Kluyveromyces lactis: one gene and its partners. The main gene of each other region encodes a partner of the protein of the gene in region 6 in a complex. Links are inferred from orthologs where the notes say so. Each region holds a gene or a part of one and is shown on either strand. Other genes may lie near its edges.

Region 1 (3,118 bases), about 680 kb from region 6:
ACATTTCTCTCTGGAAAGACATCTAGCTGTAAAGGACACACTCTAGCATGTAATTGAGAATGGATTTCATTTACTGGTATATGTACGATTTATAGATATCTACACAATTGTACCTATCATTTCAGTAGAGACTGTAGGTATTCACTGTTTTCCACCTTTAGTTCCATACTCTTTCTTGCCTGCCATACCATTAATCTCTTTCTTTCTTCTATGGAAAGATCGTTGGGATTCAAGTTTGAAAGATCTTCTTGTGGATCCACGTTGAATTTTTTTAGCAGATTGTCAGCTTTAATGTTGGATCTTTTCCGTGGATCTGTAGATGTGCTATTGTTGTTTGTATTGTTTCCTGTAGTTACAGAGCTTCCGGTCGATTGATTTTGACCATTGGAAGAATTGCCACCTGTTTCAGATTCTGGGACGTAATCTGGTGGGAATGGCATATCTCTACCCGAGAGATATCTTTCTACAGTAGTTTCAACTGATCCGGTTTGTTCCAAGTCGTATCTGATCTGTTCTGGATGTAGATGTGGAGCCAAGGATTGTACCACTTCGATCATATCATCGTTGACTCTACGACGAATACGCCTTCTAGTCTGTCTTGAAGCGGCATTACTTGACGCGGCGGTACCTGAAGCCGTGGCAGAGTCTGATTGCGAAGAAAAACCATTGATTTGGATGGATGGATGTTGTTCGTTATTGCTCAAAAACCATTTCACAGCAATATAACCGGCAATAGCCAAAATGATAAATAATGTGAAACTTTGATCCGCCATGATTAAAGTTTTAATTCAGATACTCTATCTAACACAATAATTTCTGTCTGCTCTCAATATATTGCTGTGATATTAATTATTCTGGAGACAGGAAAACACAGTATGCCTGGTTATGGAGCAAATACTTGTCTTGTTACAGTTTTTACTTGTGAATGATAATTAATATCATTCATTTCTTATTAAAGAGAAAAATTGTGTAAACGACCTGTAAAGGAAAAAAATGTTAAAGAGCAGAAGGACGTGTGTACAGCTTGCTGTGCAATCTGTCCTTTTCACTGCAGTGCATATAATCAGCGTATAGAACGCTAGTTCCAAATAGATTTCCGTTGATATCCTTGATTATTACGTTCTATATTATTCATATATGTTACAAATAGATGAAGCCATTAGGCTGATGTCGAATTACATGCCCAAGATGGAAGTGAGCTATGCAACACCACCGCTTCATCCCTTAAACTCCATTCTGAACTTCTTTTTCTGATTTTGTACTTTGTAAATAAACTGAGGAAGGCATTCCGCTTCTCGAACGGTATAGTTATCGAAGTGTTCCCTGACACCTTTCGCAAGCTCCTGCTTCGTAACCCTTGCATCTGGTACATTTTTCTGGTTTCGTTTCGCCGAGTAAGTATGTTTCCCAATCCTTGATCCTAGAAGGTACCCTTGTATTGATAGATTATCTGGAGATTTCAATTGGAACCTATCCTTATACCGCCTTAAAAATTCATCGGAGTATTGTTCGAAATCCATCGGATTTGGGAGCGGCTCATTCTTCGGATGATTGTTATGTATATGTTTCTTGTTCAAGTCCTTCAAGTATTGCTGTTGAGCACTCGAGAGTCTTTGTTTCACACTGGTCCTGGTCGATGCACCTGAAGTTGCATTGTTCGATGATTTGCCCTTAGATTCGGACTCTGAATTTGAGTTATTGTGTCCCCTTGGTGCCATGTCGTGTAAGATCCTTGTGACTGTACAGCACCCACTCTATTTGACACCTGAGATGGTATGGAGCAGTACATGGTAATGCCCTTTACCACCTGGACAAATGTTCAAAAAGATCAAAATTTTGTACTTAAGACACTTTTTTTTCTTAGATAAGTGGGAATAACTTGGAATTAGATATAGAGGATGACTACATTAAACAAAGAACATACATGCAGTCCCTGCGTCTCATCTCATTTACGTAAGAATCTATTGAAGTTTTGTAATACCGTGTCCATCGCCTTAGTCCTGGAAATGCCGTGAGCTCTTGAAATGGCGTCAAGAACGGAATCTAGCATCTGTCGTTGCTCTTGCGACGACACTGAATCCACAGAACAATCTGTCTCTGTCAAAATACACTGCAAGGGCAAACTCTTCAACAGCTCAGCACCAGAATCCCAGTCTTTCAAGTTGATCCAACACGAAACGCTAAAGAAAAGCCGTTCATGTGGGAAATTCGCCAGCCATAGCCGCACCGTATCCAATGTCCCAGTAAACGAGTGCAAACATATGTTCACCTCGCTATCCAATAATATTCTCTTGCAAATATCAAAAGTAGTACCTTGACATTTCACAGAATGGATCGAAACCGGCAACCCCCTTCCCTTTGCAACTTTTAATAACGTTTCAAATACCTGGATCTGATGTGCAAACTCTACCCTTACATTGCTTAAACTACTTCTTTCCAACGATGTCCCATTATTGCTCACGAGAAAGCCATTCTGAGGCAACCGAAAAACCTTGTCCAATCCGATCTCGCCAATACAACCCACACGAGAAACCCGCTCATCTGACAAGTAACTTGACAAATCTACTGGATCCGGCAATTGCTCTACCAATTCCATCAACTGTACCTCGTCTTTACATTTAAGACAATTCCTATAATGCCCTACCTTAGAAAGCGACCTATCTAACTGATATAAATGGCAATACCAGGGATGCACACCAAGACTAACATTGATTCCGGGACCTTCATCATCCAGTTGTTTCATTAGCAGCAGGGGCTCCAGTAATTCCCAGTCGTACACATTCGTGCTCATGACACACCGTTGGACATCACTTGCCGTTCCGGCAAGGGCCAGGTCCAAATTGCTTCTGATCTTATCGCATCCTACAGCATCCACCATAGTAGACACATGGCAATGTGCATCGACAAGACATGGAACCATTCTTGCCCCACAAAACCAAGCCCAATTACCACTCACCTGATAGCAGACTGGAACCCTAATTCCATAGCAATTGCCTTAATTGTCCCAATTCACCAATATGTTCCAAAGGTATACTTTTTGAATCACCTGGGACTCTTTCTATCGGAAAATCATGGAAATTGAGTTGCCGGAAAAACTATTGTTTTGGGGGCTCCCACA
Region 2 (4,387 bases), about 100 kb from region 6:
ATCCAAGAACGATGGAAGAAGCTGCAATGGAAAAGATTAAGCAACAAACTATTCCTGTATCCTTGTCTGATAAATCTTTAGTTCGAGCATATACACTTCCAAGCAATATCAAGGAAAAAATCATTAAGGCAAGCAAAATAAAACCTGAATTCAAACAACTCAATACGAAGCTCGGGGGGACTATTCCAGCTCTCAATGAAGGTACACCTTCTGGCGATGCTTCTGATGCCAAAACACTGATCAGCGGAGGTATGCACGATGATATAAATGGCGATGAGCAAGAAATTGAGGAAGAGTTTGAAGAGGCAGACGGTTTAGAAGATGAAGGTTTCTCGCTAGATGATGCAGAAGCTGAGGAGTATTCAGATGATGATGAAGATGATGATCAAGTGCCACCGCCTCCAGAGGAAATAGCGACTCCTAGGGTCAGTAGATCTCTAAGAAAACTCAGACAGCACAATCCCGTAGAAAATGAAGTTCAGCAAAGACCACAGAGAGTCTTACGGAATAGAGTTTGAATATTAATTAAAGGATAACCTAATCATAGTAATGCGTGGCCATGACATGTGTTTATGAGAAGAAAACTGATAATAGTGTAATATCTAATATATGCATGTATATATGTATATGATTGTAAGAATAGCGAAAATTAATGCCATCATTGATATAGCAGTAAAATGTAAATAACAAAACAACGTAATAGTACGCACTTTTCATTTAAGTGTTTATGCAAAAGGAGCAGCCCGTGTCCCTTTGCTATAATAAACTGAATAGGGACATTATTATGACAAAAAATAACCATATGGTACAGTTCAAATGATTTGGCATAAAGATAACACTGTAACAGTATTATTGATGTTCTATTGTAGTTATAGTACTTGTACAATGGGGTCATAATCAGGAAAGTGTGTGCGTTTATGTGATAGTAAATCAACGACAATGATGATTGAAGTAGCAGCGACTGGCGCCACGATACACTTCGGGGTTCATGTTCATACATGTCTGAAAGTGGTTTGTAAAGTAGTTTTTTAAGTTTTTGGTTCTTGATAATGGTATTAATACAGACAGTTTATCATCAAACAATGTGCTTGAATATCGTATTCAAACTAGGCAGTGGCTGAGTTGGCACTTGCGGTAGTCGATGGTTTTGTGGTGGTTGAGGAGATTGCGATGAATTCGGAGTGAACTGGGGCGTTTGTTCATTACTAGCCTGTGTTTGAAGAATTTGCTTCGGTACGCTGGCAGGCATCCTATTGCCATAAAAAGATGAGTTGTTCACATCAGAAATAGTTGGAGAATGGTCTCTCAAGGAATGAGCGTCCGGTGAAAACACTGGCGATCTCTCACGAGCGGAAGAACCAGTCGAAGATGTTTGAGAAAACGTAGGAGATTCATCTCTTAGCTGAGTTGGGGCAATAGAGTCTTCCATGCGGCCAACAATCTCTACATCAACATCAACATCGTCAATGTCGTCATGCTCCTCTACGGCAGTATCTGGTGAGTAAGTAGAGTGGACCTCATCTGAAGAACTCGATTGATTAACATTGGCGGAAGGACTAGCAGTACTAACTGCATCGCTAGGCGTTATATGTAACGAATCCATTCTCCATTGGATCTCTTGTTCTGATCTATGAGGTAACAAGATTGAAAGCTCATCAATGGACAAGTGGTACCTTTGACGTTTTTCTACCAACAACTTATCCTCATCGCCAGACCAAGGTTTTGCAAAGCCATTGAATGATCCAACGGCACATACGGATGAAGGAGGGGGTTGAGAGCTTTGTTTTATGGGCATATCAATGAAACCTGCTTGCATAGACTCACGTCTAAACTGAGAGACAGAGTTCCTTCTAGACATAGATGGATTCGTCGTGAAGCTTTCTCTCCTTGGATTCGCGGAAGATGCGGGCAAAGTTGATGAAGGCATGACAACAACGGAAGATCTTCTAGAAGATCCGTTAGAAGACATTGGGATGAAATGCCTGTCGGATGCTACGTTGAAAGAGGAACGTCTGGAGCGCGAGGAGAAGGAATTTTTCCTTGATTTCGTACTGGCCAGGTTTGGCAAGTTCGATTGTGGAGTGTTATTCACAACGACCGCGGAACCACGTCTACTCTTGATGAAGACTTTTGGAATAAAACCAAAATTTTCCTCTTGATCATTGAAATGGGGCATATTTGGTGGGGCGTCCTGTGAATGAGAGGAAGACCTGGGCTTTATAAATTTCCCATGAGGAGCAGGAGAAGCAGTAGAGAACGGAGACTTGGACAACGATCCGGAATGTGCAAGTCCGTTTACCGATAGGACACTAGATCCAGCTGTAGCAGCAGATGACGAAAAAACACCCATGTTGCTATTGTTATTATTAGTAGCACTCCCACTACCATTCAACCCATGAGGTGACGAAAGAACGGCACTATTGGTAACTTTTGAGGTCGGAATTGGCATGGGCATGGGCATCGGTCCCGTAGAACTAGACTTCTTTGCCGTATTCTTCTTCGCCGTCGAAGAGGACCCAGTGTTTAAAGATTCCGCGCTCAACGTAGGTCCTGCAGAAACAGCCATTGGAGCAAGTACTGGAACAGTCACATTTAACAACTCATCCTCCTCCTCATCCTCCTCCTCTGGCGACTTCACCGTCTTTAAACTGCCAGATTTTAACCTTCTCCACCGAAATTGGCACGCGTTAGGAGTTCTATTCGTAAAATACTGAGCAATATCCTTCCATCCCAGTCTTTTCACCTCTTTCAAGTGTCGCAACAAGACATCGTCCTGAGGTTCCCACGAACTCGGAGTCCTACTGGAAACGTTTTTTGGTGCAGTCATCTACCCTTTCACTTAAAAATATTGTGAGTTATAATTGTAAAGTATCAGCAACCAAAACAAAATCCACTATTTAGAGCAGTAAAACCAAAATTCAGCTCAAAAATTTTCGAAATGTAATCAAAACGACAGTAACAGCTTTCTAATAGCTCTAATTCTCTAGCTCAAAGACCTGTTCTCATTAACACAACGAGAGGGAATAAAAATTTTGAACGGTCCAAAATAAAACCGACAGTAGTTTATGAACGATTTTTCTTTTTAAACAACAAAAAATCGCCTTAAATTCCTTCCAAAATCGGCTAACAATAAACTAACGTATTGACAGTTATGCTCTGAGTCGATATCACTGAGGTCAGACTGAGTACTGAACCAATAAAGACAGGTTTCTGCCTAGGAAACAAAGAGTGTCAAGTTAAATGACAAGACTCGATGAGGTCGAGTTTAGTGGCTTTTTCTTCGTCGCGATGAGTTGGAAAAAAAAAAAATTTCGAATTTTTTCAGTGTGACAGCGATGAGATGAGGTGACAGGTGAGATGAGAAGAGATGAGATGTGATGTGAGTATACTGAGTGAGGGTCCTGTATCTTACCGTTCACGTGTCTTTTTTTGTTTTTTTCGTCTGTGTACTTCTTGCAAATGGGGTTCCCCGGTTGGTTTGGGACTGGTGCGTTAGTCTACGCCTTCGGAAAGCTATTGCAGTAGTGTGTAGAATGTGTCAAAATAAGCTTATGGGAGGTAGGGGGATGCACTCCGGGAGGTGATAAGTGCGTTGGTAGGCCATTGGATAGGCTTCGGAAGATACCCATTACACGATATTTTTGGACATCGTGTGGCATGTACGGTCTGTGAATGTTTCCATGCGGACTTGAGTCACAGAGTGGAGCTTAACCTTACATCCGGGTAACACTCGAAAATTCTGTACAAGCCATCTCACGATGCGCAAGAGGATATGCAACTCATCCCACTTCAGAACGATAAAAGGACTTCCTGTTTGTTTGGCATATTTTCGGTTCATTATGGCCATTGTATATCACTGTGAAACAGCTTCTACACTGTATATGTCCAGAGCACTTCAGAAGATGACAGGTTTGAAACAGATAAGGTACTTTGACATTGGGTTCAATATCTCTGATCACATGTTCAAAGGGAAATACCATGGCAAGAAGCAGCACGAGACGGATTTATCCAATATATTGAACCGTTGTAGATTGACTAATGTGGATAAGCTGCTGATTACCGGATCTTCACTGGAAGAATCGAGACATTCCATTAAGCTTTGTAGTGAATTTGCAACTGAAAATGGACCAAAGATGATGTACACCATCGGGGTGCATCCGTGTCAGGTTAACGAATTCATGCCCAAACACTCAAAATCGTACCGGAAATCAGATTCAAGCGAGGATCTTCCGTTTGCAATTGAAAACCATCAGTTTACCAAAGCTAGATTGCACGAATTGTATGATTTGTGGAAACTCCAAGCAATGACCGATAACGAGCATTTCAGGGCCATTGGTGAAATTGGGTTGGATTATGATAGATTCCATTTCTCGGGACTGGAAATCCA
Region 3 (5,187 bases), on a different chromosome or scaffold from region 6:
ACTAATATCAGAAGGGACTCTCAATTCTTTCCCAATAACAATGTCTCCATTGCAGGGGATCGTTTGCCTTCAATGGCTGAAAAGGCTGATGATCAATTCAACTTTTTCTTTTATTCATAGCGCAAAATAATAGTTCTCGGATTGAAAAATGTGTTTACCTTTCATGTACTGAAGTGATTCACATATAATTATTTTTAACGCCTTGTTTTTCTCTATTCCTTAGTTACTGAAACGACACTTTTTTAAATTTTATCTTAATTATTCCAAATTTTGGTTGTAATGTATGTGTCTATATTTTGTATGTTCTTTTATTTTATCTTATTTTATTTTGTTGATCCTCATATCATCTCAATCCTCCTTTGAAAGCAGCATAAAGTTTAAATATTGAACTACGTTGTCTTTTGAAATCATTTCCATACTATTCCCTAAGCTTTGTGCTTAAAATACGTACAATTCATACATTGTATATTAAAGTCAGTCTACACATTTATTACAGCAAATATATCTGAGTATATTATATATTGGGAGGTGAACATAATCATAAAAGTTCAGTCAAAAATGGTATCTATAGAGTTTTGAGGGGTTGTCCATTATTGTAAAAAAACTGAGAACACCTGATGATACAGATGTGTGTCTGAGAAGAATTTAGAGATGATTGTCTCTTTGATTATAACCAAGTCTTCTTTTTCATTGCTTGTCTCTTAGCTTCTTTTGTTTTCTTTTTAATTTCTTCGAGTTTTGCTGCCTTTTTAGCAGGATCTGAAATAAAATCGGGTTTTACTATGTCGTAAAAGCATTCGAGGTGCAACCTCACGCAGTTCTGGCATTGCGGTTTCTCTTCTGTACATTTCTTCTTACGCAATCTACAGATCCAGCAGCCAGTTCTTGACCGTGCCCCCGTAGCATTTCTTTTCTTTATTTGATCACTTGATTTGACCATTTGCTCGTTAGAAACATCATTATTGTAATTAGATTCTTTAAACTTCAGTTGTTTGGCATGTTTGGAATTCGGTGACAATAATCCAGTGTGTTCAGTAGATAATGATGAAGACCTTGATCTTTTTATATGCATACCATTTTCCGAGATATCCGCAGCGGGGTATGCCGTAGTATCTGGATGGTCTCCAATCTCATTTTTAATTCCTGTCAATTGAGATTGATAATGTGGTGGGCCTGATCTTCTTCTGGACAATCTTCTTTTTCCATTCTTATTCCATGCAACAGTTTCTGGTGCCTTTGATCCCCCTTCGGTCATTTCGTAATCACCATCGCCATACCCGTCATCATCATCATCCTCTTCTTCCATTATAACGAGTTCATCCTGGTTGCCAGTCAATGGTCGTTGGTTAACCCGAAGCACTGGCTTAGGTAAAAGTCTTTTGGAGAACGGATTAAAGGCATTATTTTGGAGAGATTGGTTTGATAATGACGAATTCGGTCGGCTATCATGATTGCCAGAGCCGAACTGTTCGTTAAATGGGGGTAATGGGGAAGACCTCATCTGAGAAATGATTGCGGCAGCTTCCGCATCCACGTTGGAATCTTGATCATTCAAAGTTGGGTTGACCATTGTGCTATTATATGGATACTTGTTAGCCGACTCTACTTTCGGAAAAGCGTTTGAGGATCCTAATAACACTCTATTCCTTAACTCATCGAATTTTGTGTTGAAATACTTCGGTTGGTAGGTAATATGTGTATTATTGTTATTACTGTTTGCTGTGCTACCGTTATTACTGCCACTACTATTACTGCCACTACTAGAATTACTGAAAGGACCATGAACCTGATCGGTTTCGAACATATAGGTTGGAGAAACAATTCTATTCATGGTAGATGAGACCTGCGGGTTTTGATTTTGATATTTTGGATGTAGGAAGGATCCTGTGGAGTGAGGAGGATTTGACGCTGCTGAGGATGGGAAATGAATAGTGTATTCATTTCCTGCCGTAGATGGAGGGGGCGAGATTGATTCTGCTGTCGATCTCGAGTTTAGTAATGAAGTAATATTGATCTTTTGAGCTGAAATTGATGAGATGCCTGCACCCGGATCTATTTTCTCTGTGGAACAATCAAAATGTAGTCTTTTTGGAGTCATGGCGCTTCCTGTGGCATGCAGATCTCTATCACGGGAAGCGCTCGAGGTCTCAAGGATCGGCGAAGATGAAGGCGCAGCAATACCGCTCGCACCGTCATGTGAAACAGTTCCAGGATTACCAATGTTTCTGCCATTGCCCTTTTTGCCTTCGAGTCTATGTCCGCTTTGTCGCAGCATGCGTTCATTTTGATGACTACCAGTATCAGCTTGAATTTCCTCGCCCTTTCTTGAATCGTGAAGTGTTTCTGTTTCACTCACTTGACCAGAGTCTATCCTATCGTTGAACAAATACACGGGAGTGCGCGAGTCTTGATATAAGGTGCTACTCCCTTTCCCAGTGTTCGGCAGCGTATTGCTACTGGATATACAGATAGATGGTGTACGCGTATTTATTTTTGGAACATGTTGTTTATCAGCCGAAACCACGTGATCAAAGTCTTGGGTACCCGTTTTTTTCTCAAATTTCACGGCAACCTCCTTTTCCTCTTGCTTAGTCTCTCCGTAACGAGGAAGTGGCGGCAAAACCTCGGTTTGAGGCTTTGTCCCTGGAATCCCGGAAGGCTCTCCACGTGAAGGAGAGATAACACCCTGTTGTAGATCGTTTTCCTCCACAGGCGTATTATTCGGAGCAGCAGTAGGAGACATCGCTAAATGTATCAAGGGGTTGAGCCTTGGTGTATGTCGCAGCAGCGTTTGTTTTTCACCTGTTTTCACTCGTTGTTGTTTTTCGTTTTCTTGTTTTTCATCAATTTTGGTCACTTCCCGCTGGGCGGTTAGCTCCACTTGGGCGGCGTTTGTTTTTGAATGTTCGTCAGGGTAACTTGGCGGGGTACTTTTCTCCGGCACATGCATTTTGGAAGATAACGGAGAAGAGGAGGATAAACGAACAGAGTTCACAGCACGCCGCTCAATTTGACTTTTCTGACGAACCATCTATTCCGAAGGTTCTTTTATATTTGAAGAAAACTTCAGTCTAAGTTTCAGGCCAGCGCTTAGCGCCAAGAGTTTGTGTTACTCTTGAGTTAAAAAAAAACCGATTCTCTCCTCACCCCCTTATAAGACTCTTGAAACTAAACACAATCAGGTATTAAGCCAGGAGCTACGGAATGAGCGGGTTCGTAATTAGTAAGAGAGATTGAACCAGAAGCCTGTCAATTCATAGAGGATCGCGGTTTCAATGAATGTAAGCATTCATAAAGAATAAAAAAATAAAGTAGAGTATATTACAATAAACTAAAACAAGTAAGAGAAATCAAACATTTGTAAAATTCGATTTATATAAATAAATAAACAACGCCTTGGATGTGATTTTCGAACGAGATTCAATTAGGCGTTTTTTTGCCTTTTTTTGAGCGAAAAACTACAGGAAAACAAGCGCAGAAAACGAATCAGAAGGGAGAAAAGGGAAGAAAAAAGGGAACGGCAATGGTACTAGCCATCTAAGCAAGCTCATTGACCTTGCTTTGCTTCTCGGTTTTTTGTTTTTAGTAGGATATCTGAAGTTTGTAAGGTGCACTGCTGTTATACAGTAGCTGATTACATATGTAGCCCGCTAAGATGGTGGGTTTCTTTAATTACCCGTGGGAATAATTTTTGACTGTTTTTGACTTTTCTTATCCATTGGGCGTATCGCTTGACGAAAATTGTCTTGAAACTATTTTACACGCTGGAAAGGGAGAAAAAGATTTGAAAAGAGTAAAGACCATGTATTACCCGGTCATAATCAGTTGTTCCGGCTTAGTAACTTTTGGGCCCAAAGTCTTAATCGATTCAGGCCAAATATAAAGAGTTTTGACGGGAAACTAGAGTAAAATCGATCTAAAGTGAGATAAACTACTTTTGTTAATGTAGTATGGTATTTATAAAAATTAAATTATTGATGATACTTATCATATGGATTTGCTAATATACATTTGTTCCAGATAAGTTGTAGATTAAAAATAATTAAAAAGCACCGCTTATTCCTGCATCTTTTCAACTTTCAGATAGTCTTCTCGTCGTTGTGAAAAGTATTCATTCTGGAGAAGGAAGTAGTGTATTGTTCGAACGGATCGTGCACTGCTCTCTTTTCTAAATCATTTTCTGGATTGTCGACTCTGTCCTTGATGCCGAAGTAATGTCTCTTACCATATTTGTATAATTCAACGCCTGCCCAGAATGCGAAACTAAATCCGATTGCGAATCCCCATTCGTAACTGATATTGTAATGTAAGAACACTTTGTCGTTGATTACTGGGATATAAACCACTGGGAACACGGAACAGAACCCACCAACAATGGACCAAAACAAGAATTGATTGCTCCAGATGTCCTTGAACACTTGAGTGTATGGTGTTTCACTTTCAGGGTTCATCATGAAGAATGATCTTCTCATGTCGACAACTTCCCAGGCTAAAATCAATGCACACCAAGTCATTGTTGCAAATGCTGCAGCACGGCCTCTGAAAACCAAGTGACACGTTTCACCAAGTGCATCGTTACAGTCAGAACCCAAGTTACCATCACCGGTACCATAGAGCACGGTAACGAAACATGCCATACAACATGCTGCCATGATGACACCGTATACAAGCATATCAATAATGACTTCCCAGGTGAAAACAACAGCCTTGGCATCCTTTGGTGGCTTTTCCATAACGTCAACACTGGCCTTCTCTAAACCAAGACCCATAGCTGGGAAACATGAGGTAACGACAATAATCCACAACACTTCGACAGGTGACAATGGGAACACAGAGAAACCTTCTTTATCAACGAAACATAAACCAACCATCAAGTATAAAGCTTGTGCCACATTCTCTGCCAAAAGTTGTAAGACGAATTTTTGGATATTATCACTCATTCTTCTACCTTCTTCAACAGCGTTCAAAATAGATGCAAAGTTATCGTCACTCAAAACGATGTCAGATGCATCCTTGGCAACATCAGAACCATTAATACCCATAGCAATACCAACGTTAGCAATTTTCAATGATGGTGAATCGTTAACACCATCACCTGTCATGGCACAGAACTTGCTTCTACGATGTAATGCCTCAATCATACGGACCTTGGTCTGTGGGGCACAACGAGCAATGACTAAAGGCAAA
Region 4 (4,042 bases), about 1.5 Mb from region 6:
AGACACCGATAGGGATAACAGCATCTAAACGATGACCTTTTTCAAATTCTTTTTGAACAAACCTTTCAACGCCCCATGGTAGTTCAAAAGAACCTGGAACGGATTCAAGAATAATGTTTTCTTCCTTAACACCTAAGGACTGAAGTCTCTTAATGGCACCTTCTACCAAAGCATCGATAATTGTTCTGTTCCAACGAGCGTAAACGATACCAATTCTCAAGTTAGAACCATCATAAACTTGATCCAATTGACCCAAACCTTTAACAGCCATTGCAAAATTTACTAACTGTGATTTGAATGTTTAGATACAACGTATCTACTATCAGATAATATATATCTCTATATGAAATAGGATAAGCTTTATTCTTGTGTAATCGACCTATCTGATCTTAACTTTTAAATATCCATTCGCTTCTGGATTTTCATTTTTTGATCTTTTTCATATATAGATTTGTTACTGACAACCGAAGTGCAGATGTAAGTCATATCTGAACTGGAATAGTATTACGTGGAAAATTATGGCAAATACCGATACTGACGGAGGGAAAACACGATAGAAAATTGACCTCATTAGATCAATTCTAACTTGGGCACCAATCTGTATATTCAGCATCATATTAACCGTCGGATGAATGACATATAACAGTGATTAGGTGAGTGACGATAAAACCTGTAGCAAATGCGGAAGAGTACTTCTAAGTGTAAATATATTATAATACAGTAAATAATAAAAGATCATCTGTTTTTGTTTTCTGGCTAAAATTCGGTTGCATTCTCAATGGTTATGTCTCTTGCATACTGAGAACCTCCTCTAGTGTCCTTCGCAGCTGCAGTATCTTCTTCGGCGTCACCTTTGTCCTCCGCATCGCGAGGAACGTGATTGAGTTGAACGCTTGGGGCATATTTAGTATGCTCTAGATTGCTGAAAATATTAAGTAGCACTTTATCCAAATACTCCGGTGTATTGACGTTATACATATTAGATGGTCTGACATCCAATTTGTAATCAGGGCCATAATATTCGTAGTAATCGTTGTAAGGAAGTTCTTCATCCAAAATCACATTATTCAGAATACCCGTTTCGAAAGCCCATGTACGAGCCACGTTTCGCATTGTATAACCACCACCACCAACAATCATGAGAGGAACACCGAACGATTTCATGTAGTTGACACAGTTTGCGTGACCCTTCATTGAAAGGTTGAAACAACCTAAACGATCGCCGGATAAAGAGTCACCACCGCATTGGAGTACCACGGCAGAAGGTTGGTACCATTCCATAATTTTACCTATGACTGGTTCAAATACCGATTTGTAAGTGGCATCGTCAATACCGTCCCTTAATGGGACATTCACAGCATAGTATTTACCTTTCCCGACACCAGTATCTCTCAATTCACCAGTACCTGGGAAGAATTCCCCATATTTATGGAAAGAACATGTCATAACTCGATCCGTAGTATAAAAAGCTTCTTCTACACCATCACCGTGATGCACATCAATATCAATATAAAGAACACGAGGATGGTACCTTAACAACTCGATGATACCTAGCACTATATCGTTCAAGTAACAGAACCCTGAAGCTTCCGATTTTTTGGCATGATGTAAACCACCAGCATAGTTAATGGCAACATCACATTTGCCTCGGTTTAATCTGGCTGCACCCTCCATAGAACCACCTCCAGATATACTACAGTACTCGTACAAACCATCAAACACAGGACAATCGTCTCCAACGTTGAATTTCACACTCTCCTTTTGGAACATATCTAAATTATCTGGAGTGACTCGAGACAAGAAATCAATATATTCATCGGTATGGAACTGACACATCTCCTGTTTCGTTGCAGGTTTAGCCCTGTAAATTTCCATCTTCTTATACAAACCGTAATTCATAATCAACGAATGTGTCATTCTTATTCTATGTGGTTTCATAGGATGTCCTGCACCATAAGCATAGTTTCCCACATCAGCATCATAAAAGTATGCAACTCGCTTCTTCTCGTTAGCCTTCACCGTTATCGGGTCAAAAGGTTTAGCTTCGTATACCATACCGTCCACGCACAATTAATCTTAATAGTTTCGCTAAGTTGGAGAGCCGGTACAAATTTTTCACCTCTTGTTTATATAGCTTTCTTGGTATGTTTTCGACATAAATCAAGGTTTTAATAGAAATCACTACCTTCATTTTTCACCGTCTCCATCAATATAGAATTTCCAAGCAGCTAAAGAAAGAAGAAAAGCCTTAAAGAGATCTGTCATGTTACACGAGTTGAAGAAGATTAAGAAGTAGACCAACTTTTTACTGACCAGATCATCCTGCATGGATGAGTTAATATATTTGTTATATATGATTTATAATAATATTCGATATGATTACTTATTAACGATCATTGAGATTCGAAACTACTCTTTAATCTCAAGTAATGTCTTAATTCATCCTCAGAAACACTTGGTATTAGATTCTGTTGAGCAAGCTCGAAGTCTTGTAATTTTACCACGACCTTCAAGTCATTCTCGTTTGCCACGTTATCAAACCAATACCTCAATGATATATTCTTTTTATTTTCCATGTTATACTTCTCCCACTTTTCATCAACTTCACCAGCAACTCTAGTCATAGCGTTTAAAAGGGCATCAGAACACAATGCGTAGAAATCTGCACCTGTATAGTTGAACGGACATTTTTTGGCAATATCTAGTATATCGATACCAGATTCTAGTGTGAACTTTCTCGTCAAAGCCTTGATGATATTTGCCTGTTTTTTATCGGTATCTGATATCCCCAAATATAACATCTTGTCAAACCTACCGGGACGTAATAATGCTTCATCAAGAAGATCTGGCCTATTCGTAGCTCCAATTACGAACACTCCGTCTCCTCCTGAACTCATTCCGTCTAGTTCTGCCAAAAGTTGAGACACAATACGATCCATAACACCCCCAGAATCTCCCTGATTTCCTCTCTTTGGTGCCACGGAATCAAGTTCATCGAAAAAAATGACACATGGCTTAGCATCTCTTGCTTTCTGGAAGACACGTCTAACATTTGCCTCGGATTCACCAATGTACATGTTAAGAAGTTCAGGCCCTTTAACACTGAAAAAATTTAAAGAGAAGTTAGACGCAATTGCCTTCGCTAACAAGGTTTTACCAGTCCCAGGAGGTCCATAGAAAAGAATACCACTTCTCTTTTTCATACCAGATGAAAATAGTTCAGGGTGCTTGAGTGGCATATCTATGGTATCCATGATTTCTCCTTTGACCACATCCATCCCACCAATATCATCCCAAGTCACGTTAGGAATTTTAGGAGCTCCGATAGAGTCTGAGAATCTATCTCTTGCAATATTTATGACTGCAGTTATATCGGTCATATCAATTAGAAGGTCGTTCTGCTTTAGACGTTGGTAACATTTGTACTTGACAGCTTTGACGATTGATCGTATATCCATTGGAGTCAAACCAGCCGATTGAACAGATACTGTCTGCAATGGAACATTATGCGATATTAGTGACCTCAGTTTTGGAGTTTGGCTGTTCAAAACATACGGGTCAAAATACCATCGAAACATTTGTAACCTTTGCTTTTCAGTTGGCACTGGTACATCAATTTCAAATTTTATTCTGGACCTAACTATAGCAGGTATGTTGTCAATGTCATTGGTAGACCCCACGAAAACTGTTCCTTTATATTTTGTGGTGTATTCTTCTATTAAGTCTGCCATTTCGACATTCATTTGACGAGCCATTTTGGAGCTTGTATTATCCTGTTGATTTTGTTCATCCTCCAGTATGGTCTCCAAGTGAGATAAAAAAATGACTACTTTCTCAACATATGATATAATAGTCTCGATCTTAGCTCTAATATATCCGATAGTTTTATTGGTAGCGTCGGAGGTATTCGAGTTGGAGGTTAAACTTAAGCAGTCTACATGAATCAAATGAAACCCAAGTTCAGCACAAACAGAGCGTGTTAACATTGTTTTACCGACATTTGGAGATGAAGAATGCAGCATTATACTTGTACCAACGTTAA
Region 5 (4,223 bases), on a different chromosome or scaffold from region 6:
CTGGAATCGTCAGTAACAATTCTTAACAGCAATTCGGATTCTGGATGATACTTTTTGATCTTATACAATTCGTCAATATTGTCAAACGTAGATTTTTTAACACCATTCTTGGCAGCAAATCTGATGAAAGAAGAAGCCTTACATGGGTTTGCGTAGATAATTCTTTCAGGATCGACACCACATGCTAACACCTTCTCTATCTCGGATTTGGAAGCACAATCGAAATTGGTAGACATTGAAGCCAATCTCTTTATTATTTCGATGTTTGGATTACACTTGACAGCATAAAATGGAGTTACTCGAGGAAGAATTTGAGTCCAGTAGTTTCTCAATCTGCTTATCTCCCCTAAATCACAAACGAAGAATGAATTTTCATCTCCGGCATCGCAAGTCTCATGATTTATAGAATCAATCTTCTCTTTCAAAGCAGCAAAGATTTTATGATGGCTCTGTTGGTGTGGTAACTGGCCTTGTTTACTTAATGGCAATCCCACAGTTGGGTTATATGAGACGCCCTGTGTGACATCATTAGATATTGGCCGCTCTATGTGTCCTACGGAGTTCATGACTGTCTGTATTGATGAGGTGCTTAGGCTGTACTTTCTCAGATATTAAAGCAAAACGAAAGCAAGTGATGAGATATTGACGGTTCCAGTTATTTATATTTTTGATGAAGTTTTTTTTTTTTTTTTTTTTTTTTTTTTTCATTTTCAGATAGCGAACATACATCGATCTTGACGTAAATGGCATATTAATGAAAAGAAAGAAAAAATCATTCACTTTATGAAGAGGTCTGAAGCAGCTACTAAGTGCCAGTCATCAATATCAACCTATGATATTGATGCTCAAAGATCAGAAGTGTGAAAATATTAATTTACGCTACATTAGATAAATTATAGGAAGAATATATGTTTAGATTATATCATTATATTAATCAAATTAGTTAGAATTGAAGGGAAAGGGAATAGTGGAAATATTATCCGGACAAACAAGGGAAAAGAGAAGTAAGTATTTATAAATGCAATATTAGAAGGTAAAAAGCTCCGTTGAAAGTTGGGATCAGTTAATTATGCAAGGAAGGTTGGTTTTTTTATCAGGCTTTTCTGCCCTATTCGTCAGTAGCAACGGCGTGACCGCAGAACAAACATGCTATTTTGTAATCAGTATTTCCGTCAGCGTCCTCAATCGAAACTGGCTTGTTTGATTTCATAAGTGTCAATTCACCTTTTGAAGGTATTTTACGGCAAGTTTCATTGGTGCATCTTGTATGGGTCTTCTTATAACGGAGCCCACAAGAATTACAAAGCTGATCTTGTTTGCTTTTAGACCAAGAAGGTCTCCAACACGGGGAATCTGTAATGTGACATGAAACGCAAAATCTATGAGAGTTACGCCTTTGTGTTGGAGAGCTTTTGGGAGATGTTTGGACTAGCTCTTGGTCGGTGTCGTCTTCTGAGTTGGAGTTCGCCGAAGTCTTTTCGCCGAAATCCTCCACGCTGTTGATCACAATAGGATGAAATCTCTGTTGGGGAGATTGAAGAGATTTTGGAGTTGTGGATAGTGTAATCTTCTTTTGTGGAGGGGTCTTTGGTGGTGCAGGATTAGCCTTAAATACCGACTTTTGTGATTCGAATTTGTCTTCATATGTAAGCAATATGCGTTGATCCAGCATCTTCTTCAGTTTTCTTGCTTTAAAACTGTTGGTCTTCTTATGTTTTGAGGAACGGTTCTTCTTTACCGCTTTAACTAATGATTCGCTGATCATAGAAGTGAATTGTCTGGGAGGACTACTTGGTGGGGTTACCAGTACTTTGCTGGAGCTTGAAGTGTTTGAAAGTTGATAGAATTCATCTGGTGAAGTATTGATCGATGATATTCTAGCAGCATCGGCTAAAATATTTAATCCATGAGTAAAATTACCAGCTCTTGGATTAGCTTGAGATACCTGATCTGTAATGTTTTGGTACTGAGTGTAATTAGTTTCCTTACACCACTCTGTTAAGTTTTGCCTCCATAGAGGCGTGGAGGCACAAGTGTCTGGATAGAGGTACGAAAACTCTTGTATTTTAGGATGTGCCAATAACTTTAGATGCTTTAATGGTTGTAGTGCTGGTTGCGAGGGTTGCGCAACCTCATTCTGTAGTTGTGAACAGGAAGGCAGTTGAGTTGATTTTCCAATATTGTTACTGCTGTTGCTGCTAATGCTGCTTCCCTCACATACTGTCTGTCTCCATATGGAAGAATTAGATGAAGCGGACACTGGTGATGTAGTAGGCGTGATTTGTACGAATCCAGAAGGTGAGGCTGGCGCCGTTTTAGATTTTTTCCGGGCGTCAAAGAAATATGGCGATTCTTCTAATGTCATTGGGGCGTTCAAACTGGTACTTAAAGATGGCAATAATAGATCATCAAAGGATCTTTTTCTTCTTGCGTAGAACTTTTGCTCGGCGTGAGGATTGGTGAATGGTAAAGGGTTCGAAATAGTGGACATCGTTAGCTTGAATAGTGAAAAGGTCGAAGCGATGGGAAATGAGCTGATTCGATGCTCTATAATGGGGAACAAGTTACGGTGTTAATTGAAGTAAATTATTGATGTGTAACACAGTTGTCAGGACCAGTGTTTGAAGAGTGAAGAAATATATCAGGCCTTATAAGGATTAGCTAGAACTGTCATATATCAACCACGATACCTAATTCAGTAAAAATAAGGGGATTATCTTTCCAATCGATCTGAAAGAATTGTCCCATGGAAACCCAGATTTGGATTCTGGTTTATATACTCTAGGGATACTGAACCAATTTCAATCAGTTCAGTCCCGCAAACTTAGTAGGAATCCATATATCGATGAAACAGAAAAAAGTGTAAACAAAGAATACCTGCGCCAAACCCGCAGAGGGTTTACCGAATTTTTTTCGATTTGGCAAAAGAATTCATACTTGTTCTATGCCTGCAAAACTAAAGGGAAAGACAAAAGATATACTTCTTTTTCTCTTACCGGCTATAAAATTGATCAAAACTAGTCAACCATTGTTTACAAAATCATATATCATGTAATGGAATCGCGCAGCGATGTTCACTTAGCTTTCAGATCTCTGTTTATGTTTATTTTTCCACACCAAGTCTTGGTATCTGTTCGGCTGGTATTATGGATTTACATTTCGATGCTGGGTTTTTCATGTTTACACTTTCTTCACATATGCAAGCAGAAAATAGAATTTAAAAAAAAAAGAATACTAGTGCGCGAGGCAGCTTGACAAAAGTGCTGGCAAAAGAGACATAAGGAAAAGAAAAATCCGACTCTACAATATGTACGCTAGATATTTGCTCGAGTCGATCAGCATTTAGAGTTGTGTTTGCATGTGTTCATTTGAGAGATTTTGAAATCAGGGTCTACCTAAAATCATCAAGGAAATTACAACGCGTACATATATTGTTTGTTACCCGCATTTGATGAAGCTAGTCAATTGAATTTACCCAAGATGAAATTTGGAGAGAAGAAGACTTCTTTCCATAGATTTAATAATAAAATTTTTGATCGATGTTGAAATTAATAGTATTAAGGTAAACGTTATCAAAGCCTTCAATAAAAATCAGCAAATCTCTTTAAAGCATCATCAACTGATATTATCAAAATGAATCGTCAACCTCAAATCGTGGAGACTTTTGTGAAGAAAGTACTGGCTCATCTAGATGAGCCCGATCCAGCAAAGTTGGAACAATTCCTACAGCTATTTAACCCACATCAGTGCAAAATAATATTCAATTCCCAACCGTTTGGACAGGCAGTGCAATTCCTTCAGGCATGGCAAACTGGAGTGGTACTGACGCAGCACGTTATCACCGCGGTTGATTTCCATGTGATACCAGGTACCGGAACCTTACTATGCAATGTGAACTGTAAAGTTAGATTTGACGAAAGTGGGAAGGATAAGAACGGCCAGGATAGCACAGTTCCAGCAAATAGTCAGGATTCACAGTCCCGCCCAGGTCAGGGATCGATTAATAGTAGATCACTGGATAAACCAAGACCTATATGGGGTACCTACTATGGTGTCTCATTACAGCTAGTGCTTGAAGATCGGATTTTCACTAACGACTTGAACGGAGTGATATCTAGCATGAACTACACAATAGTATTCAAACCATCAGATTCTTTGATGAGCATATAAGTGCTAGTTGTAGGTAGCATATAGAAATGTGTATGTCCATATATATGTTCTAT
Region 6 (3,971 bases):
AGCAAACAGGATACAGCGGGTTATCCGCATATAGTTGGTTATCATAGTGAACTTAAGCAATTGGCTACAATGATTGTTAGCATATATGTCAATGATAGGTGCCAGGAAACGCTATTCCAGTACTCAACAGTAGCAGAGTGCCCTACTTTTCGGCAACTAGTTGTTAAACTACAAGGTAAAGACGAATCATGGGAGTCTAAATACTGCAATGAGATAAATTCTGAGTTGAAGCTTTGCAGACACGTTTCTTTGCTGAATCCAGTTGTTTATTGGTGTTTAATTTCGTGTTCAGAGTCCACAGTTTCCGTGGTATCTTTGTTAGAAGAGATAGATTTACTGTTGTTACAATATTTCGATAAGGACCAATTAACGAAGCAGAAGATAAATAATAACCTCGATCGATTATCGATGCTTTTCCATTGTATCCTTGATGCTGGGCAACCGGTGATAACAGACTCGAACCGTTTAAAGGCAATGGTCCCAAGTAGAAACGATTTATCGAAATTGTTGAAGACGACAACCAATACAATTACCAAGACCTTACAACAACCGGACGGGTCAATGTTTAAGAATGGTCCGGAAAAATCAAGGTTTAGTGGCAGTAGATATCCATCTTCATCCGCTTCATCCGTTTCCTCGTTCCACGTTGGGTCTCCTGGCTCCTCGTTAGTTGATCATTCCGTTGATGAATCTGGTGTCCCATGGAGAATGAGCGGCATCAACTATGCTAATAACGAAATATTCATCGATATGAGTGAGGAAATTAACGCTATTGTGGAAAAGGGGAAACTGTTAACCGGACATATCAAGGGTTGTATCGACTTAAACAACCATCTCAGCGGACAGCCATTGGTTGAGATGAAACTTGGGCTCTTAGACCACAAGCTTAGCCACTTAAACACGACTTTCCATAGATGCATCTTAGAGGATAAGGCGAACAGCATAAATGATTTAATCGCTGGGAAATTCACTAAGCTAACGTTTGTACCTCCTGATGGACGTACTAGGCTCTGTCAATATACCCTACCGTTGGTGAAAAGAGACTCAAACCTCGGCATTATAGACGTAAATTTACAAAGCAGTTTAGGTAAAAGACTTGACGAATTTGAGGTCCGCGTCACCGTTGGAATGAGCACGACGGTGAAAGAAATAGAAAACATGAGCATGACTATCAGGATGAATAGAAATTTTAAGGGAATAGTACGTGTCATGAGAAACACTCACGGCGGTGTCGAAACAAATATGACTCGTGGCGAAGTTAATTGGCATTTGGACAAAAACATGGTATGCGGTTCAATGGCTGTACTACGTTGTATAGCGGAACTGGAACCCGAACTCGCCTCCAATGACCAAACATCTAGTAGATCTTCGGTTGTTCAACCACCTAGTTCACACTTAACATCCTTACTACAACCTAGTTTCATCAAATGTTACTACGAACACAAATCCCAGCTTCCCTCCGGAATCAAACTTCAATCAATCGACGTAGTTAATGGAGGTCCAAAAAAACCGTTCAAAGGTGTTAAGTACCTCACAAAGACTGGTTCGCTAGAGTATAGGTGATGATACGTTAAATGGTTTATATATATGTATGTATGTATTTATGTATGTGTTTGGATCACGTGATATTTTTGTTTTATGTACTTTTCGAACGAGGAAAAAGTGTTCCAACTGATTAAAGACTTAAAAGGAATAAGTAGAGCCACCTTGGATAACAGATGTTTTAAAGTTTCTATGTATGCAATGCGGAGGGCAAGAGTGAATTCCAGAAGTTTCAGGGCTGTTCTATAGTGCCATTTTTACTGATCTCGACATAGAGCGGTTAATTTGGGCGATTTGCAGCTGATATTTGACGAATAATCGAGAAGAGGGGATCTTGAATCATAGCAATGAAGCGAGAAACGAGGGACCGTGGAAGGACGGACCTTGCACCAGAGAAGTATGTAGAGGACTCTGATCCAGAGCCTGAGGATGAAGGTGAGACTCGGTGTATTTGTGGGAAAATTGAACCGCCAGATGATTCGGGTCTTTATATTCAATGTGAACAATGCCATGTTTGGCAACATGGATATTGTGTGGGCATATCTGAGGAGGAAACTCCGGATAAGTATTGGTGCGAGCAGTGTAAACCAGAGCTACACTCGCTCTACACAACGGATCTTGGTGAGAAGAGGTCAATATACAAGCCAATTCAGCAACGCCGTAGGAAAAATAGAAGGTCGAAAAGAAACTCCGAATCGGATGGAGAAGTATCAAACGCTGGAAGTTCACTAGAGAACCAATCTCCTTCTAGCTCAGTGGTTAGTGGAAATATTGGATCTCAAAGATTATCTCGGCAAAGGAGAAATAGTAGTAATGTTGAATTATCGAAGGATGAAGGTGAAGATTCTATTGCGGACTCCGGAAATGGTGAAGATAAGGATGAAAATATTCCCAAGCGCGAGTTTGATCCAATTGATGAAAATCAAAAGGTTGCAGATCGTAAACGTGCTACATCCAGTGCCAGGGAAGAGAAACATTATCAACTTATGCTAGAGAAAGCCCTACGCGAAAGCAGACGCTCTTCAAAAGATGGCACCGATCCCGAAGACCAAGATATTTTGAAGGAAGAAGAGGCATCAGGGAAGTCCGCCTCACCAAAGAATTACACTAGAGATACGGAATCTCCAGAAGTGGAAGGATCTGAAGCTGATGAAGCAGCTAGTCAATCAAGAAAACGAGCTAGAACGACAACAAAATCTACATCGCCATCAGGTTCCGAAGATGACTCCAAATCAAAAAGATCAAGAAGAGGTAAGAGCAATGGTTCAACCACGCAAAGTAACTCAAGGATTTACAAGACCTCAAGTGGAAGAGTTGCAAGGAATTCTAAAGCTAGCAGCTCAAAAGGATCGGGTTCCTCTGGAAGTTCAAACTTGTCGAAATCTAATGGACAATCTAATGATATCGGAATCAACAAGCCTCTAAAACCCAGGATTCCCTCTCAGAGGACCACTATGCATGAAATGAGAAGAAGAGTTAACGCTATTCTGGAATTTATCTCAAGGACACAGTTAGAAATATCTAATGACCAACGTCAACGGGATCAGTTGTGCCAGTTTGTGGAAAACGAAGAATTCCTGGAAAATATTAATAAAATATTCTCCAGTTACGACGAATCCTTCAAAACGATGGATGAGCTAACGAGGAAATTACTGCTTTGGGAGCAAAAGTTTAGTCCAGCTTCTTAAAAGCATGATAGAGAGTGTTCTTTTCTTGTTTCATACATTTCCTTACCTAATTCTACATCTGAAGTACATACGTAAGTTCATAATAAGTCAACTGGTTTATCATTAACGGCGCAAACATCTGTTAAAAATTGCTCTGTAGAAATAATCGAGGTTCCTCCAATGATAACTCTGCAATTGTCCTTATTTTTACTCTGTTTCTCATTGAATTGATGTACTGCGCGCGCTTCTTCTATAGTGAGGCCTCCGACGATCAATATAACAACATCTTGTGGCATATATGTCTTAGGGTCAATATTTTGGTTTAAAAGAGTCACTCCCTCTTGTGGGAACTTGTTTTTATCCAAATCGCTGAGAAGTGTTGTCAATTCAGGAACATGTTGCATAAACACATTTTCAGCGCTGGTGCTGCCTAATCTGTTGAATTTCTTGGTTAATCCACTAATCAAATCATTGTCCTGAGGAGCTTTGTGTTTATTGAATATTGACCCAAATCTCTGTTTAAATTGAAAGTAAAGAGAAATTTGTGTGGGATCACACTGTTGTCTTAGAATATTCTCCAACTCAGAAACTCTAGATTCGTTCTTGCCGTGTCGTAGAACAAAAATGCAGCATAATTTTAATTTGTAATATGATTCTAAGGTTGGTAAGTTTAGAATTCTCTTCAGTTCTACAAAGTCATCGTTATTGTCATCATGTGAAGAGAGGTTTTGCTCTAGCTCACTGACTTCCCATATATTCTTC
Region 7 (3,699 bases), about 900 kb from region 6:
CACCCTGGGATTCAACGTAATGCTGAAATAGTGGAGTGTTCTCCTTAGGGAAATTCCATGAGGACTCATCTACAAGGGCAAACGTTATGTTGGCAGTTGTTAATGATCGGACTCTTTCTTGAAATTCATCAGTGAATGGTTCGTTGTTCATAAAAACGTACGGATATTGGAACCATTGATTGAATCTTCTTTCCACAGATCTCATAGTGTGAATTACCCCATCCAGCTCCTCGTTTCTTGTTAACATCACAAATGTGGCATTCTGTCGTTCATATTTTTTGTGATTTAGATATTCTGCAGTATCCACACACCCTTCAAAGAAGGGATGTTCCTTCTTAGAGGCGCGATCCGCTGAGGAGTAGACTACAGCATCTTCCCATATTGCAGCTTCTTCCGTTCGCACAATATGGTGTACACCAACACAAATTAGAAGTGCAATTGTTATCACTATCAGTAGCTTTCTGGTTCTATTCCTCATGAGATAAGATGGAAACTATCAGTAATCATGCAAAAAAAAGTGGAAAAGATGAATGTGTACGTCCCAATAGTTGAAGATGAAAGAATGAGGTTTTATACTAATATTCTTGGTACTTTAATCGACTGTTGAGTTTATGTTTATAAATGGATCGCGTATTGCGCATAAATCATCGTCAATAGATAACTGAAATATCAAAATTCAGATTCTGTTCACTTTTTTGTGCATACATTAAAAAATACGCAGTATTATAAAGTAGTAGTATTACACATGAGATACACTAAAAATACAAGGTATAAGACTGACAATAACGGATAGTATTTGGGACCTAAGCAGTTTGGGAAATATTGGATGACAGAAAAAAAAAACTGGTAACATTTTAGTTTCTTCACTTGTACCCCAGACCAGATTTACAAGATAAATCCAACTATTGATATTCATTTGAATGGGGCTGGTACTTGGCCCGTTAGCTTTCTTATCAAAGATATATCATCAGTAACCTCATCCGGAGTTAAAGATTGAAGAATAGGAGCGCTTTTTGTCGAAAGTCTTTGGTGACCTCGACCCATCTTCTTTTCCTTTTCCTTTTCCTTTCCGAACAATAAAGCCTGTAATTCTGATGAATCGCTCAGATATTGCATCGACTCTGCATCGCTATTAGTATTGCTTGATTTCCCGCTTCCGTTTGCAGGTGTAATGTTTGCAGGAGTTTGAGCTCTATTCTGATTAGTAGCAGCACGCCTACGCAATGACCTCCTATCGGTAGTATTACCAGTCTCATTGCCACTTTCTGTTTGGCTGACATCGTTCGGTGACGAATCCCAAGCCGAAAAATTGGCTGAATTTTGAGTTGAGCTTCTAGTCTGCTTCTGGAATTTCCCTCGAGAATAATCCATCGAATAAGACTGTGTGTTTGCTACATCCAGAAGTAGCCGTTCCTCTTGCAATTTCTTGATAGTTTTCTGTAGGGATTCATACAACATCTCTTTGCACAATTTGATCATCCTTTCATGTTCTTGCTTGGCTTTTTCAATATCTTCTTGGAACTCTACTTTGGACCTGTAAATCCGGTACTCTTCGAAAAGCCTGAGCCTAACTAATTCCAAATCCCTATCTTCTTCAAGATCCCTCAATTTCCTCAGAAATTCAGGGTTATTCCCCTGATGCAGCGTCGTTAAATCTGTCTGTAACAGAGTCAACCTATCCCTATAATGCACATCTTTATCCTTTGCAAACGACGTTCTTATCTTTCCCACTTTCCCTTCAAACTGTAATCGCTTCTTATCCTTCCTACTCAAATCCTGCCCAACACCTGCGGGAATAGCACCCCCATTCTGTTTCGCTCCTTGACCTTTCTTCACACCGCTGCTCATCATAGAATATTGTACTTCATCCATGTTCCTCGGGGGGAGAAGCTGTATTTACTGCAAAAGCTGATATAATTGTTAAAGTGAAACCAGAAAAACTCTCCGGTATCGTTTCTTACCAATTATCCTGTGAAATTACTAACACAGAATAAAAAATTACAATTGAAAACGTTAACACAACGAGTTAATGTGCTGCTCGTTACATGTATCGTGCAACGTATGAGCTGGGTACAAATTATGTACAAATTATGTATAAAGTATGTACAAAGTACAACTGCTTAAGCTGCTCTGATTTAAAAAAAAAAAAAAAAAAATAATAATAATCAAATGAGACAAACAAGAAAATGCCATGCTTCTGCCGTTCGAACCTCAATGCTCCCATAACACTGATTTATTCATTGCAAGTATCACCATTTTCTTTTTTAAATTTTTTATGTTCCGTTTTCCATCTCATTTCCCCGCAGAAAAGTCGCAGCTTCAGATAAGAAAAGCTTAAAGCTGGCCGGTATAAGTGCAGGCTTTAAGTGTGTTGAAAGTTTTTAAAGGCTTTGAACTTTTGGCAATTTTGGTAAAGAAAAGGGAAAATTCCCAAAAAAAAAAAAAGTAAGTTAAGTTATAATATAATGACGATGTGATTTTTTTTTTGTTAGGTGAATAGAAGTGAAATAGTGAGACTAATTCAGAGATAAAACAGTGGTACGCAGCCTGTGATACACATCAGTGTTGTGTGTTATTAGTACAGATAAATCGCTGAATTTTGCGGTGCTTTGAACTACCCCTAATATTCTAATACTTTAAATTTCGACGTTATAAGTGTGTCGATTTTATAAAGCTCTTCTTTTCAGTCTTTCCAGTTCATAGGAAAGAAAGAACAGAGAACAGAGTTTTCGAAAAACATATTGGTTTCCCCTTTGGATATAATATTACCTGACTTTGAGACTTGTATTCCGAGTTGTTTTTGTTGTTTTTTTTTTTGACTGAGAGAACAGTATGGATATTGACGATTATTTGAATGTCGATAGTCCCAGTGACATCGGTGCGAATGTACTGTTAAATCCGGAAGATTCTGACAATTCTCGAGGGTCGAAGGTTGCGCCTGGTTTCAATGCGATGAATAATAGTAGGAAATGTGGTGTCAAGCTGTCTGACTTCGGTGGTGATATACTGTCAGGTTTTAAGGAGTTTGGGTTCAGTGTCGCGAATTCCTTTTCGAAAGAAACTGGTGATAATAACAAAAACGCACCTTCAATCCCTAGTCTTAGTATAAATGGTGTCCTGGCTCACGATATGCTTAATCGCAGTGTGAAAAGTAACGCCCAGCTTCAGCAGCCACCTAGCGTCAACCGTAACAACGGTAGAAATGCTAATAAATATGTGTCACATGAATTGAATATACCAAACACAGATCCATCTTTTTTGTTCCCTGCCTTGTCCACTAATGAGACTGACAATTTGGATACTGTGTCGTCGGCATCTAACTCACCATATATTTACCCATCAGATGCAATCTCACCAAGTACTGGGTACCTTGCTCTGGATAGCGATGTGGATGAGTTGCTTAGCGTTCATTCAGACTTATCCGATGTTTCCAAAGAGTACCAGTACATTTCAAATTTATCGGAATTACAAGAATTGACAGGCAACGTTAATGATCCTTTGCCTGATTATGTTGATAGTCAATTCAGCCAGTTGCAAGAATTGACTAACCTGGCGGGTCAATCTAATCATAATACTCAGGTGGAAGATTTACCGATGCCACGGATAAGAGTCGATAATACCAATGTGACTCCACCAAGAATCAAAATTGAACAGTTTGAAAGCGCGTCGAACTCTTCCAGACCTGTACCCACTGTAGGT

What was found.
Region 1: CTI6 (region 6) and SAP30 share a complex: the UniProt entries of both Saccharomyces cerevisiae proteins name them as parts of the RPD3C(L) complex. The link is inferred for Kluyveromyces lactis from reciprocal best matches to the Saccharomyces cerevisiae genes CTI6 and SAP30.
Region 2: CTI6 (region 6) and KLLA0_E19933g share a complex: the UniProt entries of both Saccharomyces cerevisiae proteins name them as parts of the RPD3C(L) complex. The link is inferred for Kluyveromyces lactis from reciprocal best matches to the Saccharomyces cerevisiae genes CTI6 and DOT6.
Region 3: CTI6 (region 6) and UME6 share a complex: the UniProt entries of both Saccharomyces cerevisiae proteins name them as parts of the RPD3C(L) complex. The link is inferred for Kluyveromyces lactis from reciprocal best matches to the Saccharomyces cerevisiae genes CTI6 and UME6.
Region 4: CTI6 (region 6) and RPD3 share a complex: the UniProt entries of both Saccharomyces cerevisiae proteins name them as parts of the RPD3C(L) complex. The link is inferred for Kluyveromyces lactis from reciprocal best matches to the Saccharomyces cerevisiae genes CTI6 and RPD3.
Region 5: CTI6 (region 6) and ASH1 share a complex: the UniProt entries of both Saccharomyces cerevisiae proteins name them as parts of the RPD3C(L) complex. The link is inferred for Kluyveromyces lactis from reciprocal best matches to the Saccharomyces cerevisiae genes CTI6 and ASH1.
Region 7: CTI6 (region 6) and SDS3 share a complex: the UniProt entries of both Saccharomyces cerevisiae proteins name them as parts of the RPD3C(L) complex. The link is inferred for Kluyveromyces lactis from reciprocal best matches to the Saccharomyces cerevisiae genes CTI6 and SDS3.

Annotation. Positions count from the first base shown.
Region 1 is NC_006041.1:985,406-988,523, forward strand, and holds SAP30 (Sap30p), read right to left. Parts: upstream 1,719-3,118; coding exon 1,218-1,718; downstream 1-1,217. Other genes in the region: CUE1 (Cue1p), read right to left, coding at 117-773; KLLA0_E11243g (putative endodeoxyribonuclease), read right to left, coding at 1,946-2,920. UniProt on the Saccharomyces cerevisiae protein: Component of the RPD3C(L) histone deacetylase complex (HDAC) responsible for the deacetylation of lysine residues on the N-terminal part of the core histones (H2A, H2B, H3 and H4).
Region 2 is NC_006041.1:1,773,459-1,777,845, forward strand, and holds KLLA0_E19933g (SANT/Myb-like DNA-binding domain-containing protein), read right to left. Parts: upstream 2,828-4,387; coding exon 1,076-2,827; downstream 1-1,075. Other genes in the region: SAS3 (histone acetyltransferase), read left to right, coding at 1-518; KLLA0_E19955g (3'-5'-exodeoxyribonuclease), read left to right, coding at 3,759-4,387. UniProt on the Saccharomyces cerevisiae protein: Component of the RPD3 histone deacetylase complex RPD3C(L) responsible for the deacetylation of lysine residues on the N-terminal part of the core histones (H2A, H2B, H3 and H4).
Region 3 is NC_006042.1:1,921,992-1,927,178, reverse strand, and holds UME6 (DNA-binding transcriptional regulator UME6), read right to left. Parts: upstream 3,032-5,187; coding exon 668-3,031; downstream 1-667. Other genes in the region: EBS1 (Ebs1p), read left to right, coding at 1-120; KLLA0_F20658g (uncharacterized protein), read right to left, coding at 4,080-5,187. UniProt on the Saccharomyces cerevisiae protein: Component of the RPD3C(L) histone deacetylase complex (HDAC) responsible for the deacetylation of lysine residues on the N-terminal part of the core histones (H2A, H2B, H3 and H4).
Region 4 is NC_006041.1:185,421-189,462, forward strand, and holds RPD3 (histone deacetylase RPD3), read right to left. Parts: upstream 2,056-4,042; coding exon 757-2,055; downstream 1-756. Other genes in the region: lumazine synthase RIB4, read right to left, coding at 1-271; PEX6 (AAA family ATPase peroxin 6), read right to left, coding at 2,394-4,042. UniProt on the Saccharomyces cerevisiae protein: Catalytic component of the RPD3 histone deacetylase (HDAC) complexes RPD3C(L) and RPD3C(S) responsible for the deacetylation of lysine residues on the N-terminal part of the core histones (H2A, H2B, H3 and H4).
Region 5 is NC_006038.1:231,821-236,043, reverse strand, and holds ASH1 (DNA-binding transcription repressor ASH1), read right to left. Parts: upstream 2,492-4,223; coding exon 1,109-2,491; downstream 1-1,108. Other genes in the region: ornithine decarboxylase SPE1, read right to left, coding at 1-566; MTR2 (Mtr2p), read left to right, coding at 3,634-4,170. UniProt on the Saccharomyces cerevisiae protein: Component of the RPD3C(L) histone deacetylase complex (HDAC). Responsible for the deacetylation of lysine residues on the N-terminal part of the core histones (H2A, H2B, H3 and H4).
Region 6 is NC_006041.1:1,669,034-1,673,004, forward strand, and holds CTI6 (Cti6p), read left to right. Parts: upstream 1-1,889; coding exon 1,890-3,230; downstream 3,231-3,971. Other genes in the region: APM3 (Apm3p), read left to right, coding at 70-1,563; VPS45 (Vps45p), read right to left, coding at 3,308-3,971. UniProt on the Saccharomyces cerevisiae protein: Component of the RPD3C(L) histone deacetylase complex (HDAC). Responsible for the deacetylation of lysine residues on the N-terminal part of the core histones (H2A, H2B, H3 and H4).
Region 7 is NC_006041.1:774,173-777,871, forward strand, and holds SDS3 (Sds3p), read right to left. Parts: upstream 1,873-3,699; coding exon 913-1,872; downstream 1-912. Other genes in the region: KTR5 (putative mannosyltransferase), read right to left, coding at 1-478; DNA-binding transcription factor CRZ1, read left to right, coding at 2,833-3,699. UniProt on the Saccharomyces cerevisiae protein: Component of the RPD3C(L) histone deacetylase complex (HDAC) responsible for the deacetylation of lysine residues on the N-terminal part of the core histones (H2A, H2B, H3 and H4).